Rattus norvegicus: one gene and its partners. The protein of the gene in region 3 binds, or shares a complex with, the protein of the main gene of each other region. Links are inferred from orthologs where the notes say so. Each region holds a gene or a part of one and is shown on either strand. Other genes may lie near its edges.

The links.
Region 1: the proteins of Ap3m1 (region 3) and Lamp1 are in contact, whole or in part, in a cryo-EM structure (PDB 9C5A), measured with the Homo sapiens proteins. The link is inferred for Rattus norvegicus from reciprocal best matches to the Homo sapiens genes AP3M1 and LAMP1. Residues at the interface, in NP_001307192.1 of Homo sapiens: Glu178, Tyr180, Phe181, Asp182, Gln381, Val389, Asn390, Arg391, Leu392, Phe402, Lys403, Gly404, Val405, Lys406; in NP_005552.3 of Homo sapiens: Ser410, His411, Gly413, Tyr414, Gln415, Thr416, Ile417.
Region 2: the proteins of Ap3m1 (region 3) and Ap3b1 are in contact, whole or in part, in a cryo-EM structure (PDB 9C5A), measured with the Homo sapiens proteins. The link is inferred for Rattus norvegicus from reciprocal best matches to the Homo sapiens genes AP3M1 and AP3B1. Residues at the interface, in NP_001307192.1 of Homo sapiens: Met1, Phe15, Leu16, Glu17, Trp20, Lys21, Ser22, Val23, Gln26, Val42, Glu43, Asn44, Val45, Pro46, Pro47, Val48, Ser50, Tyr55, Ser58, Ile59, Tyr60, Gln71, Thr72, Glu73, Val74, Pro75, Pro76, Leu77, Phe78, Ile80; in NP_003655.3 of Homo sapiens: Leu60, Lys64, Val67, Gly68, Ile70, Ala71, Lys72, Gly73, Ile92, Glu93, Lys96, Leu97, Val100, Arg104, Glu107, Asn128, Gln129, Leu130, Arg137, Arg143, Ser163, Pro164, Tyr165, Lys168, Asn169, His172, Gln175, Lys176, Leu202, Ser206.

What each region holds. Positions count from the first base shown.
Region 1 is NC_086034.1:83,072,197-83,076,510, forward strand, and holds the start of Lamp1 (lysosome-associated membrane glycoprotein 1 precursor), read right to left. Parts: upstream 2,868-4,314; 5' UTR 2,765-2,867; coding exon 2,719-2,764; intron 2,713-2,718; exon of another isoform or gene 120-2,712; intron 1-119. UniProt on the Homo sapiens protein: Lysosomal membrane glycoprotein which plays an important role in lysosome biogenesis, lysosomal pH regulation, autophagy and cholesterol homeostasis.
Region 2 is NC_086020.1:27,449,878-27,453,523, reverse strand, and holds part of Ap3b1 (AP-3 complex subunit beta-1), read right to left. Parts: intron 3,402-3,646; coding exon 3,257-3,401; intron 850-3,256; coding exon 696-849; intron 1-695. UniProt on the Homo sapiens protein: Subunit of non-clathrin- and clathrin-associated adaptor protein complex 3 (AP-3) that plays a role in protein sorting in the late-Golgi/trans-Golgi network (TGN) and/or endosomes.
Region 3 is NC_086033.1:3,302,576-3,306,221, reverse strand, and holds part of Ap3m1 (AP-3 complex subunit mu-1), read right to left. Parts: intron 3,424-3,646; coding exon of another isoform or gene 3,421-3,423; coding exon 3,148-3,420; intron 2,472-3,147; coding exon 2,300-2,471; intron 1-2,299. UniProt on the Homo sapiens protein: Part of the AP-3 complex, an adaptor-related complex which is not clathrin-associated. The complex is associated with the Golgi region as well as more peripheral structures.

The DNA of each region.
Region 1 (4,314 bases), on a different chromosome or scaffold from region 3:
GCCTCCACCTAACCACCTTGAGATTACGAAACTGACAACAGGAAGAGTGAAGAGCCCAGAGGCTGGCTGTCAGAACACCTCAGTTCTCACCATCCCACCAAAAACTCCTGCTACTTAACCACTTTTGTTGGGGGCTTTCTTCTTTGCCCAGCAAGCCCTGCTTAACAAGTACTTGTGACACTTTCACTTTGTGACAAGTACTGCTTAAAGTACTTTTCAGTTAAATTACTATGGCAACCTGAAAAGGCTGTCACCATGACTCCCTCCTGCTGAGGTAGAAAGGCCCAGAGATAGTAGCTTGCTTTAGGGCATCAGAAGTGAGTGGCCCAGTTTGTTTGCTTCAGTGTGTGGCCTATTGACCACACTGCTTCTCCAGCGGGGTGAAGGACTGGCTGGGTAAGCCAGCCTGGATCACTTACACAGTGAGACCCTGTCTCCAGCCAACCACACCCTGAATTCAGTTTCCTGTCTAGTGATAATCACCTCTGAACATTTAAACAAATGGCCAAAGTTCTACTCCACACACTGCACTAGCTACCACCTCTAGAGGGATGGCTCCCTTCCTGCTGGCTAACTTCCATGGGTTAGGGCAAGCTAACAGAGTGTTGTGGGAGAAAGTGTCAAGAGTTCCTTCCTCTAGATTCAGTTCAGGACTACTCTGCAAACCTGCCACTTCATGAAAGCACCACACAATCTCATGTGTCAGGACTGGGGCTCTTAACAGAGCAAAGGAGACAGGCTATTCCCAGTGCAGGGGCCACAGTCTGTGTGTCCAATTAAAAGGTCAGGTTGGGCTGCAGAGATGGCTCAGAGGTTAGGAACACTGACTGCTCTTCCAGAGGTCCTGAGTTCAATCCTCAACAACCACATGGTGGCTCACAACCATCTGTAATGGGATCCAATGTCCAGAAATGTGTCTTAAGACAGTCATGGTGTTCTCATATACATAAACAAGTAAATCTTAAAAAGGGGGAAGGGGCAGGTCAATATGACAATGTCTGAATTGTGTCTAAGAGAACATAAATTCAAAATTACAAGGCCACTGAACAGCTTGACTAAAAATCTAATGAAGAATTCAAGGTCCCACAATCCAGGATAACACTAATTAGACCTCTCATTCTTCTAGACTGCTGTACAGGGCTCATCCAGAAAGGGGAAGGTCGGGGGGTCAGCACCAACAACTCCACCCCACTAAGCAAGCACGCTTACTAGTTTCAGTTCACACAAGGCTGTTTTCTATTAAGCACTTAAGCAGCTCGGAGGAGCTTTACCTAGGAACAATTAACAATTCCAGAGTTATAGAACTGGTTAAAGATAAAATTATTTTTGAAGTCACACATCTCAGATCTCCGTCAAAGTTGTTAAAGAACCTTCGTGAAAGCTGGGACGTAATTTATGGCATACAGCACTCAATGAGGGCCACAGATCTATCCTCTCCACTTTGATTTTGTTTGAAACAGTGTCTCACTCTGTAGCCCAGGTTAGCCTCCAATTCACAGAAATTCTCCCACATCAGCCTGCTAAGTGCTTGGATTACAAGCATAAGCCACCGTCCACTTTCCTTTCCTTTTCTTTTCTTTTTTTTTTTTTTACAGAAGGATTTCATTACCTAACTCAGGCTGACCCAAACTTAAAATCTCCCTGCCCCAGCCCCCAAGGTCTAACAAGTGTGAGCCACCATTGATTAGTTTTACTCATTCATTCTTTGTTTATTTATTTTATTTTTGCAACAGGGTCTCCAGTCCCGGCTGTCTTAGAACTCATTATGTAGACCAGAATGGCATGTTGAAGAGATCCCCCTGCCTCTCTAGCGTTGGGTTAAAGGTGTAAACCACTATGCCAGCCAGAGGGGAGTTTTAAAATCATGAAGAGGCCCAACCCAATGTCCCACAGCTTTATCCCAACCAGCATTTAGGAAGCAGAGGCAGCGAGAACCTGTGAGTTTGGGGACAGTATGTTCTACATGGTTGACACCCCCCCACTTTTTTTAAAGCATAAACATTATAAGGGTTTAAATTTTTTGGCAGTGTTGGATAACTCCTGCTATTTACCAAGCCCTGTGAACTCTCCTAATTACGCCATTCTGACACGACAGAACTTGTTTCAGCAACTCGGGTACTCGCGTTTACAACTACTGAACCGTGAAGGGTCACAGGTCCCTCAGCAAGGCTTCAGGTTTGAAACCGCCGAGTAAGCGCACCTCTCTCTTTCTCACAGAGACTAAAGAGTTCGTTTCATACAAACAGCAAAATAAAGAGGGAAAACAAATTCCATAAAGTCAGTCACAGGATTTTGGGGTCCGATGGGTCCTGACAGGTGCTCGGGAAATCGTGAACCTGTGCGCTCAGGTGATCTGGCCAACCACCCCTCTCCTGTCCTGCAGATGCTGGCACTGCAGCCAAACTCTGCGTTGCTGGGATACAGCGGCGAGGAAGGGCACCCCAGGCAGGGTCGGGGCAGCACCCATTCCTCTCACAAGGTAGCTCAAAGCCAGCAGCACTGCCTAGCAGGAGGTCCATCCCAGCTCCTACAGAGCGTCCCAGGCTGGGCCCGCACGGGCACCGAGGCGGCGAGCGCCACTGCGGAGCGGGCTGGCGGGCTCGAGGCCCACTCGACGCCTGCGGCCCGGGCACCCCCGTTCCCGCCCGGCCTGGCGCCCCGTTCCCGTCGGTCCCGAGACGCCGACCCCGCCCGGCTCTCCCTCCCTCCTGGGCTCACCCAGCAGCAACAGGAGCAGCGGCCGCCGGGCGCCCGGGGCCGCCATGGCGCGACGCAGCCGAGGCCGAAGGACGGCGGTTGCGCGGGCGGCGAGGCCGGCGGGAGGGCGCGTCCACCGACTCGAGAGGCCCGGCAGCTGCGGCGCCGGCACCGAGAAGACCCTGCGGCCGGCAGCGCCTGTCACGTGAACAGTGCCGCGCCCGCCGGTCACGTGAGCCGAGGGTCTCGCGAGAGCCCGCCGGCCTGCCGCTTACTCTCTTCTCCTGGAGTCTCCACTTGGCTCGTGATGGTGTCACGTGCCGATCGGCGTCACGTGGTCTCCAGGCCACGTGATGCTTAGCCATCCGTCCTTTTCCCGAGTGTTCTGAAATGGAAAGTAGGTTGTGGCTTTGAGAAAGGGAAGAATCACTGCGGGAGAAAGTGAGGATGGAAACAGGAAGCTGTGAAAGCTGGACCGGGCCCCATAGGCCAGCTGCATGGCACTGTTCAGGTCCAAGCCCCTGAAGGCCTGCAGCCCAGACGTAGGCTGGCATCTATGTCTAGGTCAATACATGGTCAGTGTTTACATATAAGGACAGTGTGCATATGTTTCCAGGTGGGTATTCACATCTAGATCCGTGCCCTAGTCCCAGGCTAGCCTCTACTTTCAGGCTCGCAGGCGATCTCTAGGCCCAGACTAGTGTCTAGGGCCAACCCCAAGTATATCCATGTCCCAATCGGTGGTCCAGGCAGAGGACAGTCCTGTAGGATATGTAGACGGTGGGAATGTGGGAAAGACACTTTTTAAAAAAGATTTATGTATATGAGTACACTGTCGCTGTCTTCAGACACACCGGAAGAGGGCGCCAAATGGGATTTCGGGCTGGAGAGATGGCTCAGAGGTTAAGAGCACTGACTGCTCTTTCAGAGGTCCTGAGTTCAATTCCCAGCAACCACATAGTGGCTCACACCATCTGTAATGGGATCTGAGGCCCTCTTCCGTTGTGTCTGAAGACAGCTGTAGTGTACTCATACATAAAATAATTCTAGAGAAGTAAATAGTTTCTAAAAAGAAAGATAGGATTTCAGTATCTATCCCTAACTGGCCTCAAGTTCAGATCTGCCTGCTTCTCCTTCCTGAGTGCTTGGATTTCATGTGTGGGCGCAGTGTTTTTTGAGCATTCCTGATGGTCGAAGATCATGTTGATGGGCATGAGTATTTCCATGAAGAATTCAATACTAAAATATCTCCCTCTTTTGTGAATGTAACACTCAAAATGTTTGTTGTTTTGGGTCATGGTGTCATCCTAAGACCCAGGTTGAGTTGGAACTTGTATGGGCCAGACTCTGGGCGGTCATTCTGTCAGGAGTGCAGTGATTATGGGTGTGTACCACCATGACATGAAGAACCCCGGCTTTTATGTTATTACCGTTTTGTTTTGGAGATAGGGTCTCTCTGTATAACCCTGACTGTCCTGGAACTCATTGTGTAGCCAGGTTGGCCTCAACACAGATTAGCCTGCCTCTGCCTTCAGTGTGCTGGGATTAAGGGCCAGTGTCACCATACCTACCTTGAAGGCCCTGAGTTTTAGCTTGAGGATTCCTCCTGTTACAGAC
Region 2 (3,646 bases), on a different chromosome or scaffold from region 3:
TTAGGGCATTATGCTGTGTTTGTTATGGAAGTGGCAGGGCGAGCTGCTTTAATTACTGTCTGTAATAAAAGGAGCAGAGAGCGTACTGCGCGCAATCAGTGCTGTCAGCCACGACTGAGCCCAAGCTGCAAGCTCATCATGGGAGTGGGCAGCAGGCCCCAGAGAAGGGCCAGGGAGTCAGCGGAGGCCACTCTGACAGCAGGGGAGGGGAAACAGAGCCACACAATCCAAGGTATTAGCCCCAATTACTCAAAATCTTAATGACGCCTTAACACATGAGGACACTGTTGATAATGGCAGATCTTGAAAAGCACCAACCCTTAAGTATCTTCTGACCGTCTTCCTTCACAGCCTTTGACTCTGATATTTGGATCCTAATTTTTTAATGTAACATTATTTAGAAAAATCAATTGTCTTGGTTACATAATGGCAAAGTGCTGGAGGATTTAATTTTAGCCCTCAGCAAAATTGCTGCAAAGGGTAATTAAGTGTTTCATCTTCTGCTTATCCTTAAGGCCGTCTTCCAAGGTGAAAATGCACCCTAAGATCTGCTCAGGTCCAAAACGGAACCCAAGCACGGAACCCAAGTCAAGGCTTAACATCTGTTTTGGAGAAAATACACGGGCGTTTCTGACTGAGAATTAAGGAAAAATAGTAACTCTGGGGAACCTCTGGAGGAAAACTGACTGCATCACCTTTTCCTCTTGGTTTTGGAGTTCGTCTTGGCCACCCTCTGGTGTTCTGCTTCTGCCTCGCTTCCGGTCTCGCTGTCTTGTCCACTGGAGGAGTCCTCGCTGCTGTCCTCGCTGCTGCTGCCTGAGTCTCCACTCTCACGTCCAGACCCACTCTCTGCAAGACAGAGCAGTTTCACTTAAACCATTCAATTAGTGGAGGAGACCATAACATCGACAGCGACAGAGGGAAACGAGGTACTGCCTTAGGAGGACCTCGTCTGCTCAGAGGCAGTCGGGAAGGACTCACACAGAAGGCGAGATGAACAAGGAAACACGCCCGCCGAGAGGGTCTCTCTTTAACCTAAAGCAGCTAGCTATGGCACACCTTTGTGTTATGAAAGAAGGAATAAGAGTGGTAAAACAAAGAAATCATTTTAATCTTCCTAGGAACCAATTTTGAGAGAGAAAAGAGCTTTTAAGTCATTCCCCAAAAATGTCTAAGTTTATAAGCAGAAACTAAGAGTTTTGACTTACTTTTGCTAGCCTGAGCTAACATAGCATGCCTGTGTTCCTGCAGAGGTGATGAATGACGATCTGGGCATGATGGAGCACACCTGTAGCTCAAGGATTCAGGAGGCTGAGGCAGGATGAATAAGCTTGAGTTCAGGGCCAGCCTGGGCTACATGTGGGTCATTCTCTCAAAATACATATATATTGGTGTATGTAGTAAAATGCAGCCTAATTTTCACTATTACACATGACCTTAGGTGCAGAGCTGTACAGTAAATCAAAGGGCAGCCCACTGCCCTGCTCATCACCCACAGAGTGAAGTGCCCCCAGCATACACAACCTGAGGGTAAACGCTGCTCCCACACCTGCTTCGGGGCATTCCTTTCTATGCCACGGTGCAAAGCCAGGATGGCTGGGTTCTCCCGTGAGAGGCCCAGGTTCAAATCTTGGCTAAGCCACTCCCCAGCTCTAAGACTGCAAGTTACACAACCTCTGACTCCCAGTTTCCTTTTCAGCAAGGGAAATACTTCAGAGCCGTTGGGGCAAGCACATGAGTCGAAGCATGCGCAACAGGACTGGCGCACAGCAAGGCACCTGCCGTAACATCCTCCACAACCTACCCGAACAGAGCTTCTACACAGAGAGCTGCGATCTGCTGTGCAACCAGAGAGAGACAGACAGACAGACAGATGGACAGACAGGACAGAGAAATATAACTGATTCATACTAGAAATAAAAAAAAGAAATTACAGGGCTGAGAGGTGGTTCAGTGGATAAAGTGCTTGCTGCACAAGCACGAGAAGCTGTATTTGGCTCCCAGCACCCAGCACGTGTGAAGGCAAGCATGGTGGTGCTCATGGAGTGTTTGGCAGAGGTGGACAGATGGAGGGTCGCTGGTGCTCATTAGTCAGCTTAGGAAAAAACAGTGAAAGACTGCCTCAAAAACTGAGGTGCGAGGCTGAGAGACAGCGCTTGCTGCGAAGCTGAGTTTGACCCCTTAGAACTGATCCCTTCAAGGTGGCCTCTTATCTCTACACAAGTGCCAAGAATTGTGCCTCTCTCCCACACCTGTAAATGAATATATGTAACCAAAATTTGAAAAAGAGAGACATGTGACATTGACATCTGGCCTCTACACATGCATGCACAGGTGAATGTTCTCACCTCACACACAGGCACACAGCATTCCCACCCACCCACCATCCAACCCTCACGCAAAGAAAAAGGGAGCAGGCAAACAGCATCAAATTCATCCACTGCCTGTCACCACATGGGACTCAATGGCAAGCTGTGTCCAGCTAATCGGATGCAGCTATTTCCCTCTGGGCGTACAGAAGAACCCCTCTCAGTCCTGTGTACTCAGACAACCTCATCAGGAGCCACTGAGGTGAGAGAACGCCATAAGGATGTTGAACAACGCTAACCTGGGCACAGGCTTGTAAACAACTTACATATTTTCTATGTTAACTTTTGGGTTGAGGTATTTGGCTTATTATAGAAGAAGACAATGTATGGGGTTAATTTATCAGCTATTACAAAGCTTTTCAGAGGGCGGGTGAGAAGGAGGTAGAGAACTCGGACACAGCTTGGGCCAGACTGCCACCGTGTCACACTTTTGACTTGTGACTCAAACATGTCCACTAATGTAAATCACACGCAGAATTTTAGTTATAAAGTTTTGGGTTTGCTTTCATTTTAGTTTTACTTTTTTTTTGGTCTTCCAAGACCATGTGTAGCCATGGCTGTTCTGAAACTGTCTCTGTTGACCATGCTGGCCTCGATCGAGTGTAGTGCACTCGGCCTCCTAAGTGCTGGGAGTAAGGTGTGCTTTAAAGTCTCCTCCCCAGCTCTCAGCTGGGAAAGTAGGTGCCTCGCTTAGTGGTGCAGCTGAAGCGGGGATTCTCAGTCCAGGCCTAGATGCTTTCTTCAGTACACACTGCTCTCAACTTCCTTCCTAGTTCTGAAAGTAAATCCTGAGATGTCTTTAGTTTAGTAACAGACTGGAGGGAGAAAGAGAGGAAAAGATAAGGGCATCTTATGTGACAATACACTTCAATTATTATAAAGCCCACCACTGTCACTGCTGCTATCAGAGGGATCCTCCTCCTCATCTTCTTCATCTTCCTCTTCTTCCTCCTCCTCCTCCTCAGATTCTGAATAAAATTTCTTCTCAGGTTTTTCTTTCTTTGTTTTTCCAAGTGGGGTCCACTCTTTTGCCTGTTTATATAAACAAAGGAAACATTAATGAATTCTTATTACAGGACGCAGACTCCTGGCAAGTTCACTGTGAACTCAGAAGAGAAGTTTGAGACTTTCATAGAGAAACCAAGTGCTAGACATGTAGTCCTGACAGGAAAGGTATCCATTCCAAACACAGAATATATATTCTCATTCAGAGCCCACTGTTACGTCACTCACATTATACTCCCAGACTGTTAAACAATGTGTTTGTTGGTCCACAG
Region 3 (3,646 bases):
AAGATATGTGTATAGTCCAGGATGGCTTAGAACTGGGGATCCTCCCACATCAGCCCCCCAAATGCTAGAGAAGTGTGTGCAGCTAACAAGATTAACATTAGTTTTAGTCTATTTATTGCTGGTGATCCTGTCTCCAGCCTGTTACTTTCCAAGTGTTTTAGAAAAACACTGCTTTAATCATATTATTTCCCTGTTCAGAAACCTTTAGTGCTCCCTGCTTGTTTTCTGATAAAAGTTAAATGTTTTTTTTAGGCCCAGCACAAGTGTTCTCCCATCTTGGCTTCCTGTCCTGCTGGGACGGGAAGAGGCGTAGGCCAATTGCACCTTCTCCGAATGTCCTTCAGCGCTCAGTTATGAACAGCTCTACTTCTGCTCGAGGGGCTGACACAGCTCAGCCTCCCACTTTATGTGTATTTTCCTCATAAGTGCTCTTACTTATCTTACTCCACATTCTACTGATTCTGCTGGGTCCTGTGCTAGGGCCACTTGGTAGTTCAAGAAAGATTACTTCAACTATTGAACCATTCTTTGGTATGTGTACATAGGTGTGGCACTAGGAAACAGACTCAGGGTTTTAGTTTAATAATCAAGACTCTGTATCCGTGAACTTACAACTGCTCTCCTTTAGTTGCCCTAGTAGTTGGGATAACAGGTGTGCACACCACATCCAGCCTGAACAATTCTCTTATATGTCATCATCCCATGCTATAGTTTTACACTACACATTAGTAATTTTTTCCTATCCATTTTTTTTCTTAAAAGTTAAAAAGTATGAAATGGGCTGGAGAGATGGCTCAGTGGATAAAAGTGCTTGCTATACAGACATGAGGACCTGCCAGATCCCCGGACACACATAAAAAGATGGATGTGGCTATGTGCCGCACATGGCTAGGGCTGGGAGCCAACCTAGCTCCAGGTTCAGAGGACCTCTTCTCCTCAACAAAGAACTCGGGTGAGAGCAACAGAACATGACACCTAATGTCCTCCATGCACATGCACACATTCATAATATATATTTTAAAACATATACGGCAAAAATGAGGATGGCTGGCTCCTTAGCTAAAAATAGTCAATGTGAACATTTTAGCATTTTTCTCTTTGTAAATATCTCTCTCTCTGTCTGTCTGCTTGCCTGTCTGTCTACCTACTTATCTCTCTGTCTGTCTGTCTACCTACCTACCTACCTACCTACCTACCTACCTACCTACCTACCTATGTATCTATCGAGTTTGTACTGTTTCCCCCACCAAACACACTTCGTACTGTGAGAGATCTGCAGTGCCTCACTACAGTGTCCATGAAATACCACAGTGCTCTTATTTAAACCGTTTTCCCAGAGTGTAATTCCCCAACGTTAAAAGGACAACCAGAGATTTGGCTGGAGAGGTATATAGCATTCAGTAAGAATCTTCCTTTATTAGACTTTTTTTTCTTTTGCATGGAATCCCATTATGTAGCTCTGGCTAGCCTGGAACTCACTCTGTAGACTAGGCTGGTCTCAAATTCTCCTGAATGCTAGGATTAAAGGCTTGTGCCACCATGCCCGCTTTTTGTAGATTTAATCGAAGGATGAACTGAATATACTGAATTTCTAGATATGGCCTAGAATTATACCCAATTGAAAGCTTATTTATAAAAAAGCATAAGGCCCAATATGCATGACATCTACTAATGATCTAATTTTCTACTGACTAGTTTTTCTTTCTCTGAAGTATTGTGCATTGAACCCAGCAACAGGAAAATGAGCTGTATAACCCTAAAAGTCCTTTGTCCTTCAAGACTGAGCCTCTTTCAATAAACAAAACAAAACAAATTTCTCATTCTATATACCAAATTGGCCCTGAACTTAGCAATTCCCAAGTGATATGATTACACATGTGAGCTGCACCTGACATATTATCTGTTTCTGTTACTGTTCTCCACCTTCCAAAAGAAAAGGGGGCCTGGCCAGATGGGCCAGTGGGTAAAGGCATTTGATGCTATGCCTTAGGACCTGATTCAATCTCCAGATTGCATGTGGTAGAGGGGGAGAACCAACTCTCACTGTCTTCTGACCTCTATGTGTACACTATGGCATGTGTGCATTCATGTGCACACACACTTACACACCGAGAGAGAGAGAGAGAGAGAGAGAGAGAGAGAGAGAGAGAGAGAGAAGAGATATACATTCATTTAAACATTATTGTTAACTTTAATTTTGGCCAAACTGGACTGCCCTAATAGTCTGTCATATGAGCAAAATGAGCTGTTCATACAGTTTCAATGGATCAGTTCCTAGCAGTGTTTTCATTTTTCATACCTGTAATAGAATTGACGACAGAACGTAGAATTGTTGGTGGTTTAATCAGTTCTTTCAGAATGTTAGATTCGGTAGCCAGTGGGAATCCATTGTCTAACATTTCTTCCAAGAGCTCATACACTATGACCACATTATCCTTAATTGCAGCCTCTGAACACTCACCAAAGTAGTCCTAACAAAACAGTCATGGTGTTGAACAAGAGAAGGCAGGGAGGAAGGCTTGCTGTTCTTAATCCCCTTTGTAAACTACTGGAGTAAACTAATAGTAGGTTAACTCATGGTTAATGAGGCTAGAAATATATAGGCTTGAAAAAAATTCTCTATGGAAGTCCTAACATTTCTCTTCAATATTTTCTTATTGTATTTATACTGAGCTGATTCCTACTATATCATGCCAGAAAGTACTGAGACATTAATCTGGAATGTGAGGCATAAACTTCATTTGCCCTATTAACCCACACCCACACACTTACAGAGCTTTAAGCCATTTGGTTTACTCGTCAAAACAATAGGAAATAGACAACAGAAATATAAAGGATCTCATGATCAATAAAAACTTTGTGATGATCCAGAGAATACTTGTTGGAGGGCACTCCTGTCTCCTCATGATATAATTTGCCGCACATAAAAAACAATGAGTAGAGTGGCGATGTGTGCTACCGTATACCCTCAGCACGTGTTTATGAGATATGTTTAGTTGCAAAGAGAAGTCAGACAGTACACAGAAACTTCAATAACCAGTGTGTGTGTGTTTGTGTGTGTGTGTGTGTGTGTGTGTGTGTGTCTGTCTGTCTGTCTCCTTGAACTATCTTGGGTGATTTAGTTTCAACAGTTTGACAGATACAAACCTGAAAAGTGTCAGCAACTCGATGCAGAAACTCAATTACAAAGAGAGGTGGCACTTCAGTCTGTATCACAGACACAAAGAAGAGCTTATCCCGGTAGATACTAATGAGGTAGTGGTGAGGTGTTGAAATGACAGGTGGTACATTTTCAACATCAGCAGCTTTCTCCTGAGCTTCAAAGAAATAGTCACACACAGATTGGCTTACAACGCTCTTCCAGTGTTTTTCTAGAAATATGTCGCCAGAACAGTTGATGAGAAATAGACTGTGGATCATTTTCTGTGAAGGAAAACAAAGGGGGCTGGAGGTTATACTTATTGTACTCTGAAAATGCACAGTTGCAGTAGATGGCAGTGAATGCAGAGACTCACCACTGGATGAAGCACAGAGAGTTACTTTGGAGCACTCAGCCTGAAATAGGAGGTCTATCAAACCCCTCCCCTCAAGACTCAGGGAACTGTGTATAGGAGAGAAGAGTCCAAGAACCAGAAGTGGTGGAGAC